Linked DNA regions of Yarrowia lipolytica. The protein of the gene in region 2 interacts with the protein of the main gene of each other region in a pairwise test. Links are inferred from orthologs where the notes say so. Each region holds a gene or a part of one and is shown on either strand. Other genes may lie near its edges.

Region 1 (6,726 bases), on a different chromosome or scaffold from region 2:
TCATGGACATCCAGATGCCCAACAAGGATGGTATTGCTGCTTCCCAGGAGCTCAAAGAGCTGTATAAGGATGACTGCCCTAATGTTATTGCGTTGACGGCCAACGCTGGAGGAGAAGATCGAAGAAAATGCCTGGATGCTGGTATGGTCAGCTATCTGGCCAAACCCATTCTACCGGCAGACCTGGCAGCTGTTCTCATGTCTGTGCAGGTAGCGGAGCGGGATACTAAAAAGATTGAGAAGTGAGGAGGATAGTGAGGGGAGTGTGAGAGGAGGATGAGAATTGGAATAAACTGATAGAACATTAATTGATTTATTATTTATATGATACAAGTAGTAGAATGTATAGCTGGTGTAAAATGAATGTGTATTGAGCGCGTGAGTATCAAGCCGACCACGCAACTGTAGCAGTAGAGACGTGAAGGTGCAACGCGAAAGTGGTAAACATTGGTGGGAGTGCTTACTGAGACATTCGAGGGTAGGACTTACGACAGAAGCCAAGTATAAGCGACTTACAACATAACTGTGCTACAAGTACAATAGTACGATCCCTAAGATTCCATCTCATAGTTGCTTGACGTGCACATTGTACAATAAGTAATTAACCCACCTGGATTGTGCAGCTGTGCTGTCGTTGCGACGGCAATAATCCAGTATGTACTGTACACCCACTACAAGTACTGTACCTGTAGTGTGTCTTTAAAGATCCGTGGAGTAGTTTAACAGTATTTACAGTACGTCCACAATGCATGTTAGAGGTATAAACAGTTTAGTGGCTCTGGTTCAAATTGCAAGGAGAAAGAGAACTTCCACGCTACTCATGATGCTTTGGTCTTGGCCGTATTGGGCGTGCACATCTATGGGGGAATAGGGTATAATTATTGCTGTTTCATCGTTGCTAGCGGCTGCGTACGATAGCTGTAACAGCGGCTGGTTGTATAATTAACTAACCCCCTACCGTAGAATTTTATGTTTGATTCAAGATTATGAGTGCTGGTCAGAGTTTACGAAGTTCATCGTAGGTACTGTACTTACAGTAGACTGGTACGCGTGCTGACAAGGGATCGTGTCTGTGGAGTGATGTGGCGTGAGGGGAGTTCGGGAAAGATAGTGGGCCATACAAGAGGGTGGTAGTACCGTGATAACGTAGTGTATGGTGGAACTTGGGCTGTTCATAGGGGGTGTTTAATAAACATTGTACGCTACTGTACCTGTAAGTACTGCACCGACCCGCGCACTAACCCGACACAAGAAATGTGCCTCATTGGCCTTGGGCTTATCAGTGAGTGATGTGGCCTATGCATGAGCGAATGGGTTGTGTGGCATAGATGTTTTGACGCTGACTGCTACGTAGCACGTAGTATAGAGGACGGCGTCAGTTTGCGGAATGTAAACGGAATGTGTGCGTGTTTGAATAGTAATAATATCCGGTCCAGTTGCCCCACGCGACAGTTTTCCCCTGTTGGCCTATTATGTCCTTTATGCCCTTGAAGTACAGTTTCCAGCTCCCCTGGGACGATTCGATTAGGGGACTTAGTTTTGGCAACGTCAGTGGGAGGGGAGAGGTGGGGCACTCGTAAGTCACAGACGGCAATAGGCGGTGGAAATATACAGAGTATTCGATGGTAGAGAAACGACTTTCTCAGACGAGAAGATTTCACAAGCCCTCGTATTCCGCGCCCCCTGGCTCACGATACACCACAGAAGCGCTCCGTGGCACACCTTTGTGCATAAAAAAGCATAGGCTTCTGTAAGCAGCCTTCTCGTTTGACACCCAAATCCGAAACCCTGTCGCACAGCACAACTCACCACCTCACATATCACACTCCACACATACACACCCACACAACACACCCACATTCTCACACTCTCACGCCCCCACCACGCTCCTTGAACAAGCTCCCGCCCTAGCCCGTGCACAGACCCTCAAAAAGATAAAATGCAGACCATAAAATGTGTTGTTGTCGGCGATGGTGCCGTCGGAAAGGTGAGTATAAAGACAAAACGCCAATTATCAAGGTTCTCGTGCTCCGCCACGATCACGATGTCGTTCTGGACGATGGATTAATGGCCCTGGAGAGCTCCTACTAACGCAGACTTGTCTCCTCATCTCATACACAACAAACAAGTTCCCCTCTGAATACGTTCCCACCGTTTTTGACAACTATGCCGTGACTGTCATGTGAGTATAACGCGTCGCATTCTGCAAGAAACCAAGCCCCCCCCCCCCCCCCCCCAAGCAACGAATCGAGATACTAACCCCAGGATTGGAGACGAGCCCTACACACTCGGACTGTTTGACACCGCCGGTCAGGAGGATTACGACCGACTGCGACCTCTTTGTTACCCTCAGACCGATGTTTTCCTCGTCTGCTTTTCCGTCACCTCTCCCGCCTCCTTTGAGAACGTCAAGGAGAAGTGGTTCCCTGAGGTCCACCACCACTGCCCCGGCGTGCCTTGCCTCATTGTTGGTACCCAGGTTGATCTGCGAAGTGACAGGATGATTCTTGACAAGCTTTCCCGACACAAGCTGCGACCCATGACCACTGAGCAAGGCTACCAGCTCGCCCGAGAACTCGGTGCCGTCAAGTACGTCGAGTGTTCTGCCCTTACTCAGAAGGGTCTCAAGGACGTTTTCGACGAGGCCATCGTGGCAGCTCTTGAGCCTCCAGTGGTCAAGAAGAACAAAAAGTGCATTGTGCTCTAGTTTTTGCATGCTAATGGGTTAACACAACGAAAAATGAATCAAAGCAAGAAAAAAATGTTTCAAGATATGTTTATTGTAGTAGAACTGGGCTTGGATTGTGTCTACAGGGCCTCCGTGAGGGAACCTCAAAACAAAGCATCACTATGCGTTTCAAGCCTCGAGATGCCACCTGATGTCTGTAGTTACCCCATTTTTGACATATATATTATTGAATATCCAAAGGTAGAACCTGACGCGTGCTTGTAGTGCTGCAGTGGTGTATTATTTCCCCTGTTGGGTCATCATTACACGATAAGTACAAGTACGGATAGCTTCCGCCTCTACAATTAAAAGACACGCCCCACCCTTATTAAGCCAGCACATCGCTCAGGCAGATGTTTGAGTCCCGAACTCTATCCTAAGAAATCCATCGAAAAATAGTGGGTGTGCGTACAATACCCTAATATCTACCTTGGTGCAGAAAATCTAATCAGAACCTACCAGAACTACACATCTACACTCACGACATTGACGTTGTACTACGACCCTTACAACTATGTCCACCATGTACAATTCCCAACCGTCGGACACTTTGTGTGAGTATTTGCGCTGGACTGTCGCCACCCGTGCATCCGAAGTTCCCTTCTAACCCAGTCCTTAACGGAGAGAAAATCTCAGGCCTTGAAATCGGCAGCCAGAACGTTCTGGCCTGCCAGGCCATTGCCAACGTGGTCAAATCGTCTCTTGGTCCCGTTGGTCTCGACAAGATGCTTGTCGACGACATTGGAGATGTCACCGTGACCAACGATGGTGCCACCATTCTGGCTTTGCTTGATGTCCAACACCCCGCCGGTCAGATTCTCGTGGAGCTGGCACAGCAGCAGGACCGAGAGGTTGGAGATGGAACCACCTCTGTCGTGATCATTGCCAGTGAGCTGCTTCGTCGAGCCCACCAGCTCGTCAAGGTCAAGGATGTCCACCCTACTACGATTATCACTGGTTACCGACTCGCTCTGCGAGAGGCTCTGCGGTTCATCAATGAGGTCATGAGCGTCCCCGTCGAGTCGCTGGGCAAGGACACCTTTGTCAACATTGCCAAAACCTCGATGTCCTCCAAGATCATTGGATCCGACTCCGACTTTTTCGCTAACATGGCTGTTGATGCCCTGCTGGCCGTCAAGACCACAAACTCGCGTGGGGAGGTTAAGTACCCCGTCAAGGCTGTCAACATTCTCAAGGCCCACGGTAAGTCCGCTCTGGAGTCCGTTCTTGTCAAGGGATACGCTCTCAACTGCACTGTCGCTTCCCAGGCCATGAAGACCCGAATCCCCAACGCCAAGATTGCCGTGCTGGATATGAACCTGCAAAAGGCTCGAATGGCCATGGGCGTGAACATCACTATCGATGACCCCGAGCAGCTGGAGGCCATCCGAAAGCGGGAGTTCGACATCGTTCTGGAGCGAATCCGAAAGATTTTGGCTGCTGGCGCAAACGTCATCCTCACCACCAAGGGTATCGATGATCTGTGTCTCAAGGAGTTTGTGGAAGCTGGTGCGATGGCCGTCCGACGATGCAAGAAGGAGGATCTGCGACGAATCGCTCGAGCTACTGGAGCCACCATGATCTCTGACATGTCCAACCTCGAGGGAGAGGAGGTCTTCGAGTCCTCTTACCTTGGCCAGGCCGAAGAGGTTGTTCAAGAGCGAATTGCCGACGACGAGTGCATTCTCGTCAAGGGCACCAAGGCCCACCCCTCTTCCTCCATCATTCTGAGAGGCTCCAACGAGTACCAGCTTGACGAGATGGAGCGATCCATCCACGACGTTCTGTCTGTCGTCAAGCGAACTTTGGAGAGCGGTTACGTCGTTCCCGGAGGAGGAGCTGTCGAGGCTGCTCTGAACGTCTACCTGGAGATTTTTGCCACCTCTCTGGGCTCCCGAGAGCAGCTGGCTATCTACGAGTTCGCCAACGCTCTTTTGCAGATCCCCAAAACCCTGGCGGTCAACGCCGCCAAGGACTCGTCAGACCTGGTTTCCAAGCTGCGAGCACGACACGCCCAGTCGCAGACTGCCGCTCTCACAGACACCAAGCGACGAAACTACAAAAACTGCGGCCTGGACCTGATCCGAGGCAAGATTGTGGACTCTCTCAAGGCTGGCACCATCGAGCCTACCGTTTCCAAGTGCAAGTCTCTCAAGAGTGCGCTTGAGGCGTGCATTTCCATTCTGCGAATCGACACCATGATCAAGGTGCAGCCTGAGGAACAGAAGGAGGACCCCCACGATCATTAGAATATAGAAATTTAGGGTTGGATATGGACATAGCGCATATGTGAACGAGATTAATAAAACGATTATGAGTGCTTGTAGGTGGTATGGCCATCTATTTGGACGTGTGGGAAGCTGAGTGTTCAGTGAGGGTCTGTGCGTTCTGGAACATTCCTTGCTATGGAGCTTAATTGGTTCCATCTTGGCGTTTCTGTGCTACTTCGACGAAGTAAAGGCGATTGTATTCTTGGTTGCGCCGTACTAAACAATGGTTTGTGTTCCCATGCTACTGTCGCGGCGGTGATTGAGCTTGGGAACCTCAATTTCAGACAAAGGAATTTTTCCTCCGTTCGTGCATAAAAGCTTAAATTCCACCCTCAAAATTCATCAAAATTCATCGAAATCCACCTTTTTCGCTGGCAAAAGACAGACAAAACAGCTCGAAATTGTATGTAAACCTTAAAAATACTTAGAGAAATTCTCAATTTCTCAATCAATACAAGCTTCTGGCCCATCAAGTCAGCTCAGCACATCAATTCCATTGAAACCATCTATAGCAAAACAGTACAAAATACGAGGAGACTTAGTGATGACGGCTGCCAATCATGGATAACCCGTCTCTGCTGCCGCCCAGTCCCGGCCTCGTGGGGGTGCCGCTGGGGGAGCCAGCCTCTCTTCCAACTAGTTCAAGCATGCCATGGTCAGCCAGGAGCCTTTGGGCATTCTGGAGCGCCTCTGCTGATGGCAGATTCAGCTTCAGGAAGAAGCCAGTCTGTGATGTGGGTGTCTCGTAGGGAGTCATGGTATCCTGCTGTGCCAGTGAAAACACATTATCGGGGGTATCCTGGATCCAGGACGCGGAGCCGGGGGTATCAAAAAGACTAAGGGTACCGACGGAACCAGGGACATCTGAGACAGCGAAGGTGAAATGGTGTCCACAGCGACGTCGAAGCAACCGGGACCGCCGCAATCATCGTCAGAAATGACAACGAGGTCAAGGTAGCGACCAGGCTGTTAGAAAGGGGTATCAAAGACGCCAGAGAGCGGGGACGGGAGAGCGTTTACAGCAACGGGTTCTGGAGACACAGTGGGTGGTCTTTGCCCTAAAACTTGACTGCTCCTTCGACTCTTCATCCGGTTGACCTTTGTCGCCTCCGTTGTTATTCGCAGACTGATTGTCAAACTGAACGTCCTCAGAACATTCCCAAGCACCCTTATAACATGTCCAAGCACCCTCATAACATGGCCAAGCCCATGGATTGTAAACTGCTCCAGGTATGTGGCTGCAATCCTTAGGGCTGTTGTCGTACGTTTTGGAGTTTCGTTTAATCGCATATCCAGCTGTCCAGTTGGCGCGCATCTCTAGCTGTTTGTCGTGTTCCTTGACCGACCGAGGAGTGTTGATCTCTGGAGAAGACGCCGAGTTCGTGCACCATTTCCTCCTCGGTAATCTCTCCCTTTTCAACTCTCTCTTCAAGCTGGACACGCATATTTCCGAGGGCATCAGCTTTGGCTCTGGGGGCATGCTTTCTGCCAGAGATGTTTTCAAATTCTCTTTTCCTCTTTTGGGGTACCCGAGCTGGTGGATTTCTTGGTTTCACATAGTCGTGGAGAACCTGCTTCACCACCTCATCGGAGACGGAATAGTGGGGCTGATCGGGAGCTCGTTCAGGCGCTTCAAGGGGATCAATATCGCTATCTGAAGCATCAAGATCCCACATTTCAGTATCGGATGTTTCATTATGGGGTATCGCTAACGTGGGTGTCGCTGCCG
Region 2 (6,892 bases):
TAATCCAAAAACACATATAAGCACGTCACTCTTCCCTTACTGTCCCACACCCATCAACACGTTAACAATGTCAGTACAGTCAGTAATGGACGTCCTCAGGGACATTCAGGCCAACCCCACAGACGCAAAGGCCATGGAGCAGCTCGTCAAACAGGTGTCTGCTCTCGAGGCGGCCTCAAAGACCCCTGCCCAGACTACAAAGACCCTCACCCCACCCATGTTGCCAGCAGACGACGAGGACACAGAAATGGAGACAGACAAGCCCTTTGTCACGCCTCTGTCGCCCCCCAAATACGAGGGACGAGTCATTCTCACCACCTACCCCGGACAGAGTGGCGTCAAGCCCATTCCTCTAAGATGGGGCGCAGAGGACCCCAAGGTGCGAGGTCCCATTGTTGTGGCCCGTGATCAATCGTCGTTCAAGCAGCGAAATGCCATCGGAGCCCACCACGGATCGTATGGTATCTACCACGCACTGGCTGTTGCCACCAACGACCTGCCCGTTACACACAGAGCAGACTATACCAACGCCTATCCTCTGCACACCTTTGGACCCCACCCCCAATGGTCCGACCCCAAGAAGATTGTGGCTATGGACCCTTATGGTCATCTAGCTCCCTGGCTCTTTCATGAGACGATCGCGGAAGGAGTTGTAGTCAAGCCCACCATCGCTGTTACTCGTGCGCAGATGCAACTAGCCGAAATCAGAGACGAGGTCAGAGACGGAACCATGGAGGTTGATGGCGAAATTGTGCTCAATAAGAGCGGAGATCTCGCGGTCACCAAGGTGGCCGTGGAGCCCGTGTGGTATCTGCCCGGAGTCGCCGAGCGATTCGGAATCACGGAGGGGGAGCTTCGACGTGCCCTGTTCGAGGACACTGGAGGAATGTACCCCGAGCTGGTTACCCGACCAGACATCAAGGTCTTCCTACCTCCCATCGGAGGCCTGACGGTGTACATTTTCGGCGACCCAGACCGAGTTTCGGACCCCTCCAAGAAGTTGGCTCTCCGAGTCCATGATGAGTGTAACGGATCCGACGTGTTTGGCTCCGATATCTGCACTTGCCGACCCTACTTGACCTTTGGTATTTCCGAAGCAGTCAAGGAGGCCCAGAAGGGTGGCTCGGGAGTGGTCATCTACTTCCGAAAGGAGGGACGAGCTCTGGGCGAGGTGACGAAGTACCTAGTGTATAATGCGCGAAAGCGAGGAGGCGACTCAGCTGCCACGTACTTTAAGCGAACGGAGAACATTGCCGGAGTTAAGGATATGCGATTCCAGGCACTGATGCCCGACATTTTGCATTTCCTGGGTATCCAGAAGATTGACCGAATGCTGTCCATGTCCAACATGAAGCACGACGCCATTGTGGAGCAGGGTATCCCCATCCACGAGCGTGTGCCCATTCCCGACGAGATGATTCCTCCGGACTCTCGAGTCGAGATCGATGCCAAGATTGCGGCTGGCTATTTCACCACCGGCGCCGTCATGTCTGAGGAGGAGCTCAGTGGCGTCAAGGGTCGAACCTGGGACGATGTTGTGCATTAAGGGGTTAGATAGTAGCATGTATAACAGATATAATTATAGCAGATAAAAAAAAAGTAGTGGAGATGTGGTCACTGGGAGGTAATGAGTGCCCCTCAAGGTAATGGTATGATGAATTGTACGGTATGTATGGCGTAAAAGTACAGCTGTAGAGTATGTGAGGTGCGGGCGTTTATTTACTGGTACTTGTATGTCTGCCGGTTAAGAGCTGTTATGCAAGACATGAGGAGCGCTTTACCCAGATATAGAAAGAGATTGCCCTGTAATACTTGTATATACCGGTAATTAGGTGGCAATTGACACGCGCATTTCCATATCTTCGCCCAATTGAGTGCTTATATCGTTATCACAGTGCACAGGCTCCAAGTGTTTACTCACGATGTTTACGGTGAGGGAAGCACGTACATACTGTATAGGATGCGACCATACAGGAAACTTCTTCTTACCATATCGACGTTTCGGAATGTGTCTGACATGGACAAGTGGAGGGCACTGGGCGCTTTTTGGTCCAACCGTTGGAAAGTACAAGACGGGGTTTGGTGCTACTGTACGTGTACTTGATAGATAGTTGCGCTACGGCACGATACAATGTACGAGTATGTGCAGAGTGCAGTTGATATCGCCACGTACTGCATGTGGGTTGCTGTACACTGCGGGGCACGGCCTGACAACCCCGTTTCTGCTCGTACTCGTACCGGAACATGGACCAAATATAGCTCTGAGAGATTATGTGGGTTGCGGCAGGCAATTTCACCGGAGTTAAGCATCGCCGAGATACGAATAAGGTGTAAAGGGGCGGCATTTTGGGACGAGCACTTTGGGACGTCCACGAGGTAAACAGACACAAGCCACCCGCGATAACCTTGAGTTTGGGCTATTCAGACAGAGCTGTGCCCAGAGAGGCGGGGAATGAGCTCTTTCCAGATGTTTGCGCAGCGTTCTCTCTCAACTTATCTCCGTCGCTTGCTTTCCATAACGCGCGAATCACATGTCAAGGGCCAGGGTTTTACCCGATCCCAAACATTGACCAACCTTGTTTGGTAGATGGGGGGGAAGCGAACCGGCAATATTCCACAATGTGCTGGCATTTACTTGTGCTGGCAAAAGAGGCACAAAGAATACTTGTAGTCGGAGCCACTCACTGTCCCACAAATAGCTCCCCGCTGTCAATCTCTCCTGCACCGCCTGCTCACATGGATGCTAAGCCGCACTAGGTCGCATATATGGCTCTGCACTAAAAATTAGGGGTCAACCACAGTGCGGTATTTTTAGATTCGCACCAAGCAGCGAGTAAGCAAAAATACGCCTACCGGGGTCCGATATTATTCAGGAGGTGCCATTAGAGGAGGGCAGATGAGAGTCGGATATCGGAGATATTACCGAGGCTATAATTACCCCATCCACGCCTTTCACCCCTCCCACTCTCTCCCTCACCGCACACCAACCCACCACTTTCAAAATATACCGCAACATTGACATAATCTCCGGTACAGTGGTTAGCACCGAGAGGACCCCAAAAAGCTTGGGGGAGATAGAGGTAGGCTTTTTTTTGTCAGTCAAATCGTATATGCCAATACACACACACACACACACACACACACACAGTTTCGTACATAACAGTATATTGGAAGGGAGTGTGCTTGGCAAAGACAGGAGAAGACGGTGCTGTTAGAGGGCAATCCAGACGGGCTAGAGCTCTGTAACTTTCGGATCGATTTCAATTCCTCTAGAATACCAAATACCAGTGGTTAAGCGGCTCATTTACCAGTCCTAATACCCCCTCCACCAGCCACCTTCCCCTATTCCTCGGCAGTGCTTTTTTACCTTTGAGATGTGGCCTTGTCTCCGTTACTTCCCAACCGTGAGTGCTGTGTGGTGTGCTGGACAGTGCGACATAACTAACCCTAACCCAGACGAGCCAGCGCACCCCAATTTTGTGTTTGCCAACTCCTACTTTTCTCCTCTCCTCCATCGGTATTTCATCGACAAATCTCTTTGCTACCAACAACCACACAAATTAAAAATGGAAGGTGAGTACTACCAATGCCATCGATGGCACAGCGGGCTTTGCCATCATCGATTGTCTGGATTGATGGCGAGTCGGTCCCTGGATTGGACACAAAACCACAAATGGCGCTTTCTCCCCAGCGACAAGTCATCACCACCAACATGGCGACCAAAGCCACGGGCCAGCAAGCGAATCAATCCATCATCGAACGGATGGAGCTGCGAGAGCGCTTGCGAGCCCAGAGCGTCCGTCTTGCCGTTGGGCACCTTCGCGCTTTGCGATGACGTGTCACCACACTGATAATGTCGCATGCTGCCGCGCATGACCCAACCAGCCCCCGGAAAAGCGCAATCCATCAGCAATCAATCAATCCATCAAATAACCACACCATACTAACCTAGACGAAACTGTTGCCCTCGTTATCGATAACGGATCCGGTATGTGCAAGGCCGGTTTCGCCGGTGATGACGCTCCCCGAGCTGTTTTCCCCTCCATCGTCGGTCGACCCCGACATCAGGGTGTCATGGTCGGCATGGGCCAGAAGGACTCCTATGTTGGTGATGAGGCCCAGTCCAAGCGAGGTATCCTGACCCTCCGATACCCCATCGAGCACGGTATTGTTACCAACTGGGATGACATGGAGAAGATCTGGCACCACACCTTCTACAACGAGCTCCGAGTTGCTCCTGAGGAGCACCCCGTCCTGCTCACCGAGGCCCCCATCAACCCCAAGTCCAACCGAGAGAAGATGACCCAGATCTTCTTCGAGACTTTCAACGCTCCCGCTTTCTACGTCTCTATCCAGGCCGTCCTCTCCCTGTACGCCTCTGGTCGAGTCACCGGTATCGTTCTTGACTCTGGTGATGGTGTCACCCACGTTGTGCCCATCTACTCTGGTTTCTCTCTCCCCCACGCCATCATGCGACTCGATATGGCTGGCCGAGATCTTACCGACTACCTCATGAAGATTCTCTCCGAGCGAGGTTACTCTTTCACCAACTCCGCCGAGCGAGAAATCGTCCGAGACATCAAGGAGAAGCTCTGTTACGTTGCTCTCGACTTTGAGCAGGAGCTCCAGACTGCCTCCCAGTCCTCTTCTCTCGAGAAGTCCTACGAGCTTCCCGATGGCCGAGTCATCACCATCGGTAACGAGCGATTCCGAGCTCCCGAGGCCCTCTTCCACCCCTCCATGCTGGGTCTTGAGGCTGCTGGTATCCACGAGACTACTTTCAACTCTATCATGAAGTGTGATGTTGATGTCCGAAAGGATCTCTACGGAAACATTGTCATGTCCGGAGGTACCACCATGTACCCCGGTATTGCCGAGCGAATGCACAAGGAGATCTCCGCTCTTGCCCCCACCTCCATCAAGGTCAAGATCACCGCTCCCCTCGAGCGAAAGTACTCCGTCTGGATTGGTGGTTCCATTCTTGCTTCTCTTGGTACTTTCCAGCAGATGTGGATCTCCAAGCAGGAGTACGACGAGGCCGGACCCACCATTGTCCACCGAAAGTGTTACTAAGTGTGGTGATTGCTGTTGTGCAAGCCTTTGCTCGTTTTCTGCTGTATGTAATTTAAAGAACGATTGTATGAATCGAAGTCAAGGTGAGTGTAGTTTGAGAAGTGTAACCCCAGTGTCATAGCTGTGTACTCCATTCATTGAAGGGTGTAGTCGTGTTTTATTGCATGAGCTCCTATTACTCGTATAAGTAACTGTTTTGTAACACTTCATGAACGGAGATGGTATGAACAGAAGTAATAATATCCTGGAAGTCAGCTGTGCCCAGAGGTGTGTGTGGGTGTGGCATACTTTGGGACAACAACACTTGGGCAGTATGCTTAGTGACCACGAAGAGAGTGTTACCTTCTGAGGTGCGACGTGCAGTAGTTCTATTGTTTTTAAATGCGCAGTCGTCTTTCAGAGGCTGATTCAAGCAGACGCATTCAGTTGTGTTCAGTTGAGGCTGATATCTCAGCACCTACAGTTTAGGGAAAGCAGGGTTAAGATGATGACAACTCTGGGTGGTAACCTGGGATATGCGGCGATATAGCAGGTAATGACTTAATAACTGCTCAATGATGAGTATATACATCCCTCCTATCTATATATCCATATTTAGTATTTACATATTCATCTTCACCGAGCTACAAGTAGAAGGATGTACATGCTGTATCTTGCGGTGCCTGTCGCCATGTTTTCGACAAGTTAAGTTCGGAGTATGCATGCAAACAAAAATACAAGTAGTCAAAATATTGGAGTATCAAACAACGTGCTTCGAAATCTCTTCCATCCGCACAACTACCAAACGACATGGTGGCGAAAACGTTTCGAGAGGAGCCCGTCGGCGGCACCCATCAACAAGTGGAATACTTGTTTCCCAACGTGGAGATTGATGGCTCGAAATTGATCACGAAAAAGGTGGTGGACGAAAGAAAGCGAAAACTGGAATCTGACGATGCCGAGGAGGTGTTTCTGCGACGCTACGTGTCCAAGGAAGGGCAGATGTTCCAGAGCTCGACCAATGGCGAGTTTTCTGTGCGCTTCTTCGACGAGTCGCACATCATGGAGGTGACTGGAGTGAATCACGATCGCAAGAGTGTGCGTATCTATTTTCCCGAGGGACTACAGAACCATTGCACGTGTGTGACTGAAAAGGATGGGGTTCTTTACATTGATTCCATTTCAAACAGCTTTCTGCTGTACAGCGTGAAGCTGCCATTTGCTCTGTTCAATGAGGACAACACCGAGCATTACGACACCTCACGGTTCTTTCAGCAGCAGGAGGACTACGGCATTCGAAGCCGAAAGCCGCTTCTTCTCAAGTCGCTCAAGGGCCAGTCCAACGAACTTGTGCTATCTTTATGCGACGGAGGACTCATGAAATTGGAACGACAAGAGAAGAACGGCCTGTTTCTGACATCGTTATTTTCCGACCCCTCGTATCTCACGAGCCTCAAGGACCGGTTCTTCAGCAAGGACAAGATTGCGTCCATGCCGCATCTCAGCATCCACGCTATTATCTCTATGACAAACTTTGAGAACCACCTGTTGACCGTGTCTGTCAACCAGACTCTCAAAAAGTGGGATCTGAATACTCTCACCGGCACAGAAATCAAGTTTGACAGCGACAAGAGCAAACTCGACACTGAGCCTGTCACTCGAGTGTGTGCGTCGGGCGAGTTCTTCATCACCTTTTGTGGAGAAACCATCTACTTCTGGGATCAAAACTTCGTCCAGGTCTTCTCGTCCAAGATCCCAGACATTGGACTATGGTCGCTAAAGGACATGGCGTTCCGTCAAAACGAGGGTCAGTTCGAGGTCTCCACCGTGTGGATGTCTG
Region 3 (7,004 bases), on a different chromosome or scaffold from region 2:
ATGCGGCCCAGGCACCTGTGAGAATCAGAAGAGCTATGATGTTTCCGTTAGGAATAGAGTCAGGCGCGCCCCTGTCGCGTCTGTATTGGCCCATTCTAGGGGTGAAAACAGCTGTCGTCACCAATGTGTAGATCAAGTATGTCGAGAACAAGGTCGTGTACTGTAGGAAGATCTTGTAGTTGTGTTGTCCGATCACTGTGCCCACCCAGAAACACATGTGGTCCATCTTGGGGACACAGTGTCCCACAATAGCCGAGTGGTGTGTTCGGTCCGGTTTGTGTGTCTGGCATTCTGAGCACCATTTGGGCATTCCCCAACCATCGCAGATGTAAGTATCTGGCAGCTTGGGGTTGATCTGCCTTGATACTATAGCCTGAGCCTTTTCGTCCACCACTTCTGATCCTGGAATGAAAATTTGCAAAGGTGACACTCCAGTCACCTTTCCAGGGCCAACAATGACGACGGCGGCCCAGTAGATGAAAACCAGTGTCTTGAGAATGCAATAGACAATCAGGAGAGCCAGCCCTGCCCGGTAGCCCATGTGGTGGTAGAGGTTCCAGCAGAGAATGTAGCAATATGCGTAGGTGCCATATCCCAGGAGTCCGAGAATTACGCCTGGGAAAACGATTCGCAGTGCCTGTCTGAACGCTGCTCTGTTCATTTCATGGTCAAGTGTGCTGGATAAGATGATGAGAATGTAGACAAGGTTCCTGGTGTAAACAACTCTATTGCCAACTGAACACGGGAGCAACCGCACCTTAGGAAGGTCGTACTTGCGGGGTATGAGTGATGTGAGCGGGGTTTTACCAAGTCAGATTCTGAGAACCCACCGGCAAGCCTTTTTGGAAGAATCTGGACAACTCCAAGGAGATTACAGACTGAGTGGCAATTCACCTTTGTAGAGAGACTTCCATGAGCTACCCCTATAGCTACTTAGAGATCGCTGAGTCTTATTTTGAAAGACTTACGGTTGAGACGTGGTAATGAGGCGTTTTAGCCAAAAAGATTTTACCAGAATGACACACAATATCGCATGAGTGATTTTTCAAACTAATCATCATACGAGTAGATACAGTACACACTGTCGTACTGTACGTACCTATAACACATTCCATCTTCAAGCTGCATGTTCTCAGCGTTTATGCATCTGGTTTAGAGCTCAGCGGTTGTCAGGCTAAACTCCCAAATCAAGTTGGGTTTGCTTGCAGCTCATCCAGGTGCTCTTTGGAGCTTATTAGACGGTCAACTTGGCACGATATCATCATCACACCTCCACCACAACAGCTATCAATATGAGTGAAGATGGGGATATATGCCCGATCTGCAAATCCTCGCGGTACCTCAACCCGGATATGAAATTTCTAGTCAATCCTCAATGTTACCACAAAATGTGCGAATCGTGTGTGGATCGACTTTTTGCCTACGGCCCAGTGACATGCCCTCACAATGGCTGCGAAAAGATTTTGCGAAAGAACAAGTTCAAGACCCAGATCTTCGAGGATGTGGCTGTCGAGAAGGAGGTCGATGTACGCCAACGGGTCATGTCGGTCATGAACAAACGAGAAGACGAGTTCGACACGCTGAACGACTACAACGCATATCTGGAAAAGATTGAAGACAGCATCTTCACGCTGTTGAATGGAACCGCTGACGAAAAGGACGCATTGACCAAGGAGATAGAAGCATACGAAAAGGAACATAAGGCCGAGATCATTGCCAACAACAAGCTCCGAGACGAGGAGGACAAGTATGAGCAGCAGAAGGAGGACTGGATGAAGGAACAGAGAAAGGCAAACTACCTCATGGCTGTGGAGGAACAAAGGGCAGCTCAGGAGGATAAGGAGGCTGCCAAGCGAGAACTGGTTCATCAGCTCGCCACTTCCAACAAGGATGCCTCTTCCATCGAGCAGAATGTCCAGAAGACAGCTCTCAAACGATCCTCAGCTCGAACAGTCAACTTCCAACCCATGCCTACATCTCGGTACTTTGAGAAGGTCAAGAAGGAAAGCTCGAAGCCCGAGACGCCCTTCACACCCTTCAACGGTGACAGGCAGATTCCCGCGCTGTTTGAGGTACAGGACCATTACGACGACAAGGTCATCGAGCCTCTGGCCCATGACATTCAGCATCAGGCCGGAGGTTTCACTCTCAAGGCAGCATACGCAAGAATTCTCCAACAGGCCTTTTTTGGTCTAGGTGTGGATGTTCAGACCGAGCTGTTGGCTGAAGAGAATGGCAACAGCAACGGCACAGCAGTACCTGTCAAGACAGAAGAAGACCCGGTCAAGCTGGAAGAGCCATCGATACAGGTCAAGGTGGAATCCACGGTATAACAACAGTATTTATATGCATTATATTTGAACAACAATGAAGTATTTATGACTTGTGTATACTACTTGTAGCAGGTAATTGTACTTATAGCCACGGTACCTGTACAGTAATCAGCTAATAGAATGGTGTTTATACAATGCATTTGTTATGGTTGCCCAAGTTTGTTTTCATAAATACGACCGTCCGCGGCTCCATCTAGCTGAATCCACGTAGCAGAAGAGCTCCAATGGCTGCAGTCTCCACCTGAGCTCTATCATCTAGAGAGACTGTTCCTGGTAACTTGTATACCTTCTTGACGAGCTTGATATCTGTGTTCTTGGCAATCTGCTCGTCAGTAAAGGGCTCTTCGGTTCCCTCAACCAGCTTCGTGTACTCTCCTCCGCCAATCTTGACAGCCACAATGTTTGTGGTATCGTCCTGAATTCCAAATCTCCTTAGAGAGTCCATGATGTTGTTATTCCCTCCCAGACAGAACAGCACCTCTGAGTGTACGTTTTTTGTCTTCATGGAGCCGGCTTCCTGATCGGAAACGGCTCTGTAGACGGCTGCGAGCAGATGCTTGGACGAAAGCAATGTGTTGGCATTAATGAAAGCCACCTGGTAGTCGGGGTTACCGCTTAACAGCTCGTTTCGAATCTGGCCGGCATTCTTGACGTCTGAAAAGTAGGAGATGGCAATCTCCTGGTCGAACTGGGGAAACTTCATGTTGTGGCAGTGAATCACACGATCTGACTAACGTAATGCTTTTGAAGAGTTCGGGTATAGGATAGTCTGGAATTTGATACTCAGCTGTGTGGATTCCAGATACTGGTACTCGTAGGATTTTCCTGCAGATGGTGGAAGATAAACTTCGGAGGTCTTACCACAAGTAAGACGGTGGTTGGTACGTGGGATATATGTGCTGTATTGTGAAAGAAGGGGTTCTACAGACAGCGATTGTTTATGAAACATTCCAGTTGATTTATTAAGCAGCACAAATTTCAAAATTTGCCTCAACTATTGACAGGTATCATTCTACTTGTACAAGTACGTAATGTACAATCATCCTGCCACCACTCCTTCACTCTCCTATTAATAACTCTATCTTCGGTGCTGCATACATCTCCCAGTTGGATACATAAACAGCATCCATCTAAACACCTCAGCACCAATTGTATAATGATTTCTCCAGGTGAGTATGCCAGAGATCCCCGTAAGAAGCCCACTAACGCCAGTTAAAACCTCCGTGGCTTCTCCGGCCACCACCAAGGGAGTTGCCGTGCATCTCTCCTACAACCCCAAGACCAACGAGGTGGCTTACGCCAACACCAAGGCAGTGCTTCTGGTGAATCTCGACAAGCCCAACGAGGCTCGGCAGTTCAATGGCCACATTGCGCCAACCACCGTCGCCAAGTTCTCTCCTTCAGGCTTCTATGTCTGCTCCGGCGATCAGGCTGGCAACGTCAAGGTCTGGGACCCTGTCTCTTTCAACATCAAGTACGAAGCCAAGATCGGCAATGGTCGAATCAACGATCTCAACTGGGATGCTGACTCTCAGCGAATCATTGCTGTGGGCGACGGCACAGAGAGATACGGTCATTGCTTCACTTTCGACACTGGTAACACTGTCGGAGAGATCTCTGGTCACGGAGCTCAGGTCAATGCTGTCGCCATCAAACCCGTTAGACCCTACCGAGCTGCTACCGTCGGCGATGATGCCACTCTCGTCTTCTACAAGGGTCCTCCCTTCAAGTTCGACCACACCGTTAAGCAGCAGCACAGCAACTACATCCACGACGTTGCTTTTTCCCCTGATGGAAAGTGGCTTGTTTCGGTTGGAGCTGACAGAAAGGCCGTTCTTTATAACCAGGATGGTGAGCCCGTCAAGACTATTGACGCACATGGCGGCTCCATTTACTCCGTCTCCTGGGCCCAGGATTCCACCCACTTCGCTACCGCCTCTGCAGACAACACTGTCAAGGTCTTTGATGTCGAGGGTAAAGAGATTGACACATTCAAGTTTGACCAGTTCCAGGTCGGTGTAGTCTGGGCTGGCGATTCCCTTGTGTCAGTTGGACTGGACGGCACCCTGTCCTTCTCCTCTGTGAGCATAGATGCCCTGTCCAAGCTGTCTTTGACTGAGTCCAAGGTCATTGCCCACCAGCAGCCCATTTCTGCTGTCGAGACTCTCAAGGGCAAGATATACTCTGGCTCTGTTGACGGATCCATTCTCGAGTGGACCGGTGACAAGGCCTCTCCTTCTGACGCCTCCCACTCTACTTACATTGTCTCTCTCAGTGACTGTGATGGAAGCCTGGCATCAGTTGCTTGGGATGATACTTACAAGCTCAACAACACAGTCTACTCGATCGGCACCCAGCCCAAGGCTGCCGATTCTCGAGGTTCTCTCTCTGCCATCGTGACTGAGAACACTCTGCACATCCTTGATAGCGGTAAGCTTGTCAAGAAGGTTTCTATTGATCGGGGCTCTGCTGTTGCTATTGCTGACCAGGTTGTTGTGGGATCTAAGTCGGGAGAGCTCTCTGTCTACTCTACAACCGGTGAGAAACAGTTTGATCTCCCTCCTCTTCGTGCTGCTGCCACAAAGCTTGCTCTTAGTGAAAATGGTAACCTTCTTGCTGCTGGCGAGTCCACTGGTAAGATTATCCTATACGACCTTTCAACTAAGTCTGTTGTCACCTCTCGATGGACCTTCCACACCGCTCAGATCAACGATATTGACTGGCTTGGAAACGAGTACATTGCCTCTGTTTCTCTGGACACAAACATTTACATTTACTCCGTCAAGACCCCCATGAAGAACCTCAAGTCTCTGAACGCTCACAAGGAGGGAGCCACCGCAGTGCGATGGCTGGCAAACAACGAAATCGTCACTGGTGGTGCTGATGCTGTTCTCAAGTGGTGGTCTGTTGAGCTTAGCTAAAGGACATAACACTGTACAAGTACAAGTAGACGAAATTCATGAATCAATGCAACACACTATTATTATATATGCTTGTCTCGAAGACTAAGCCATGCATGTCTAAGTATAAACGATTAGCGCGTCTACTTGTAGCTCATGACTATGCAGGTTTCTACTGTAATTAAACTATAAATACAAGTACATACTGTATGTACTGTAGCCTTGTATTCTATGTATTTGTTAGGACACAGGCCCGGACTTCGGTTGGTTTGTGGTTTGACAGGTAATGCCGGCGACTTGCCTATGGCAAGTCGTTGAGCAAATACTCGTGTTGAAAGGGTCAATAATCGATATCCTAAATATATGGGAAATGAGAGCTATATATAATAATGGCACCGGACCAACTGACGGATCTGTAACTCGGCGGTCGAGTCCTGGGGGACTCGATCGACCCCTACGGTAGTGGGTCTTTGACCGGAAGGGTGACTACAAGGATCCCCAATAGAGAGTTGACAGATAATCAAGCACCGACGACTGTCGACGGTCCTTATGCCACAGGCACAAGAAACACCAAAAGAAGATCGTTTCCTAACAGGCGACCATCATAGTAAAACAGCACGAGAGCGCTGACGACCAACAGTCTTCTGGTGCTAAGCTTAAAATACTGAATAAATCGATTTGTATGTATGTATGTATGTTGTTATCGGTCGCCCATGTATTTGAGGTACTGAGGAAGACAGTTTTCAGGCATCAGAGAATCCTTGAGATCGTCTGTGGTGAATCGACCAGGCTTGCATCCATGACACTTTTTGGACTTGGGGCAATTGAAATAGGGGAAGTGGTAATATCCAATGTCCTTGAACCAATGGATTTGTGACTGGTTAGCAAATAGTCCTGCGCCGACAGAGTGCACGGGAGCATCTCCCCATCTCTCGTAAAAGAACCCTCCCTGTTTATCCAGATGCTCAAACCATTGGGCGTATGCATCGCCCCTGAAGAACTTCAGAGACGCGATTTCAAAGTTGGACCAGAAATGGCAAGTGGAGTATCCGCCAGCCTGGGCGTTCCAGTCTGGTCTGCTGGGGTTCAGCAAGAATTGCATGGCATTGTCTTTGTGCAGATACTCCTTGTTCTTCATCAAGAAGGATTTAGTTTCCGGCCATAGGGTGGCAACGGTTTTGGGGTTGTCAAACAATGCAATGGTGAAGCCATACACCTTGTCATTGTCCTCCATGTATGCAAATACATCGTAGTCGATGTCACAATAGTATTGGGTGTCGGGTTCAACGCGCCAGTACCAGTCATAATCGTCCATGGCCTTGTGCTTGTAGAACATACCCGAGTTCCATCTGCACATCTTGTGGTAGGAGTCCATGGCACCATATCGTACACCAGCATCTTCCAGCTTCTTGCCGGCCTTCTTGGCCTTGTCCTTGTCGATCCATCTGGGGGCGTCCCAGTCCTTCTTTTCAATCAGCTCAAACTTGACTTCAGAGTCAGTCTGTTCGCGCACCTTTTCCTTGAACTCGTCGGTGAACTCTTCATCATTGAAAAAGATCCAAGGGTAGCCGAATTTGTGATTGAATGTGTCCTCGACCTGCACCATGGCATCCACAATACCGTCCAGCTCTTTGTTTCGAACAAGAGAGATAAGAGCGGCTTTAGTTCGCCGCGTGTCAGTGGCGCGAACAAGAGGCTTGGCACTGACAGGCTCGTCCACCTCTTCAAGCAGGGGATTGTTCTTCGGCGTTAAGTCCTCTTTTGGTTCCGT

The links. The genes of interacting proteins can lie anywhere in the genome.
Region 1: the proteins of YALI1_D10600g (region 2) and YALI1_B20730g interact in binary tests that used the Saccharomyces cerevisiae proteins (3 or more experiments, as listed by UniProt). The link is inferred for Yarrowia lipolytica from reciprocal best matches to the Saccharomyces cerevisiae genes ACT1 and TCP1.
Region 3: the proteins of YALI1_D10600g (region 2) and YALI1_E02377g interact in binary tests that used the Saccharomyces cerevisiae proteins (3 or more experiments, as listed by UniProt). The link is inferred for Yarrowia lipolytica from reciprocal best matches to the Saccharomyces cerevisiae genes ACT1 and AIP1.

Annotation. Positions count from the first base shown.
Region 1 is NC_090771.1:2,069,767-2,076,492, forward strand, and holds YALI1_B20730g (uncharacterized protein), read left to right. Parts: upstream 1-3,241; coding exon 3,242-3,281; intron 3,282-3,339; coding exon 3,340-4,976; downstream 4,977-6,726. Other genes in the region: YALI1_B20634g (uncharacterized protein), read left to right, coding at 1-245; YALI1_B20709g (uncharacterized protein), read right to left, coding at 984-1,161, 1,206-1,303; YALI1_B20717g (uncharacterized protein), read left to right, coding at 1,939-1,986, 2,096-2,181, 2,265-2,706; YALI1_B20765g (uncharacterized protein), read right to left, coding at 6,278-6,726. UniProt on the Saccharomyces cerevisiae protein: Molecular chaperone; assists the folding of proteins upon ATP hydrolysis. Known to play a role, in vitro, in the folding of actin and tubulin. In yeast may play a role in mitotic spindle formation.
Region 2 is NC_090773.1:1,056,472-1,063,363, forward strand, and holds YALI1_D10600g (actin), read left to right. Parts: upstream 1-3,566; coding exon 3,567-3,573; intron 3,574-3,952; coding exon 3,953-5,073; downstream 5,074-6,892. Other genes in the region: YALI1_D10565g (uncharacterized protein), read left to right, coding at 68-1,546; YALI1_D10623g (uncharacterized protein), read left to right, coding at 5,863-6,892. UniProt on the Saccharomyces cerevisiae protein: Actins are highly conserved proteins that are involved in various types of cell motility and are ubiquitously expressed in all eukaryotic cells.
Region 3 is NC_090774.1:234,211-241,214, forward strand, and holds YALI1_E02377g (uncharacterized protein), read left to right. Parts: upstream 1-3,508; coding exon 3,509-5,254; downstream 5,255-7,004. Other genes in the region: YALI1_E02348g (uncharacterized protein), read right to left, coding at 1-661; YALI1_E02355g (uncharacterized protein), read left to right, coding at 1,293-2,333; YALI1_E02372g (uncharacterized protein), read right to left, coding at 2,527-3,036; YALI1_E02413g (uncharacterized protein), read right to left, coding at 5,934-7,004.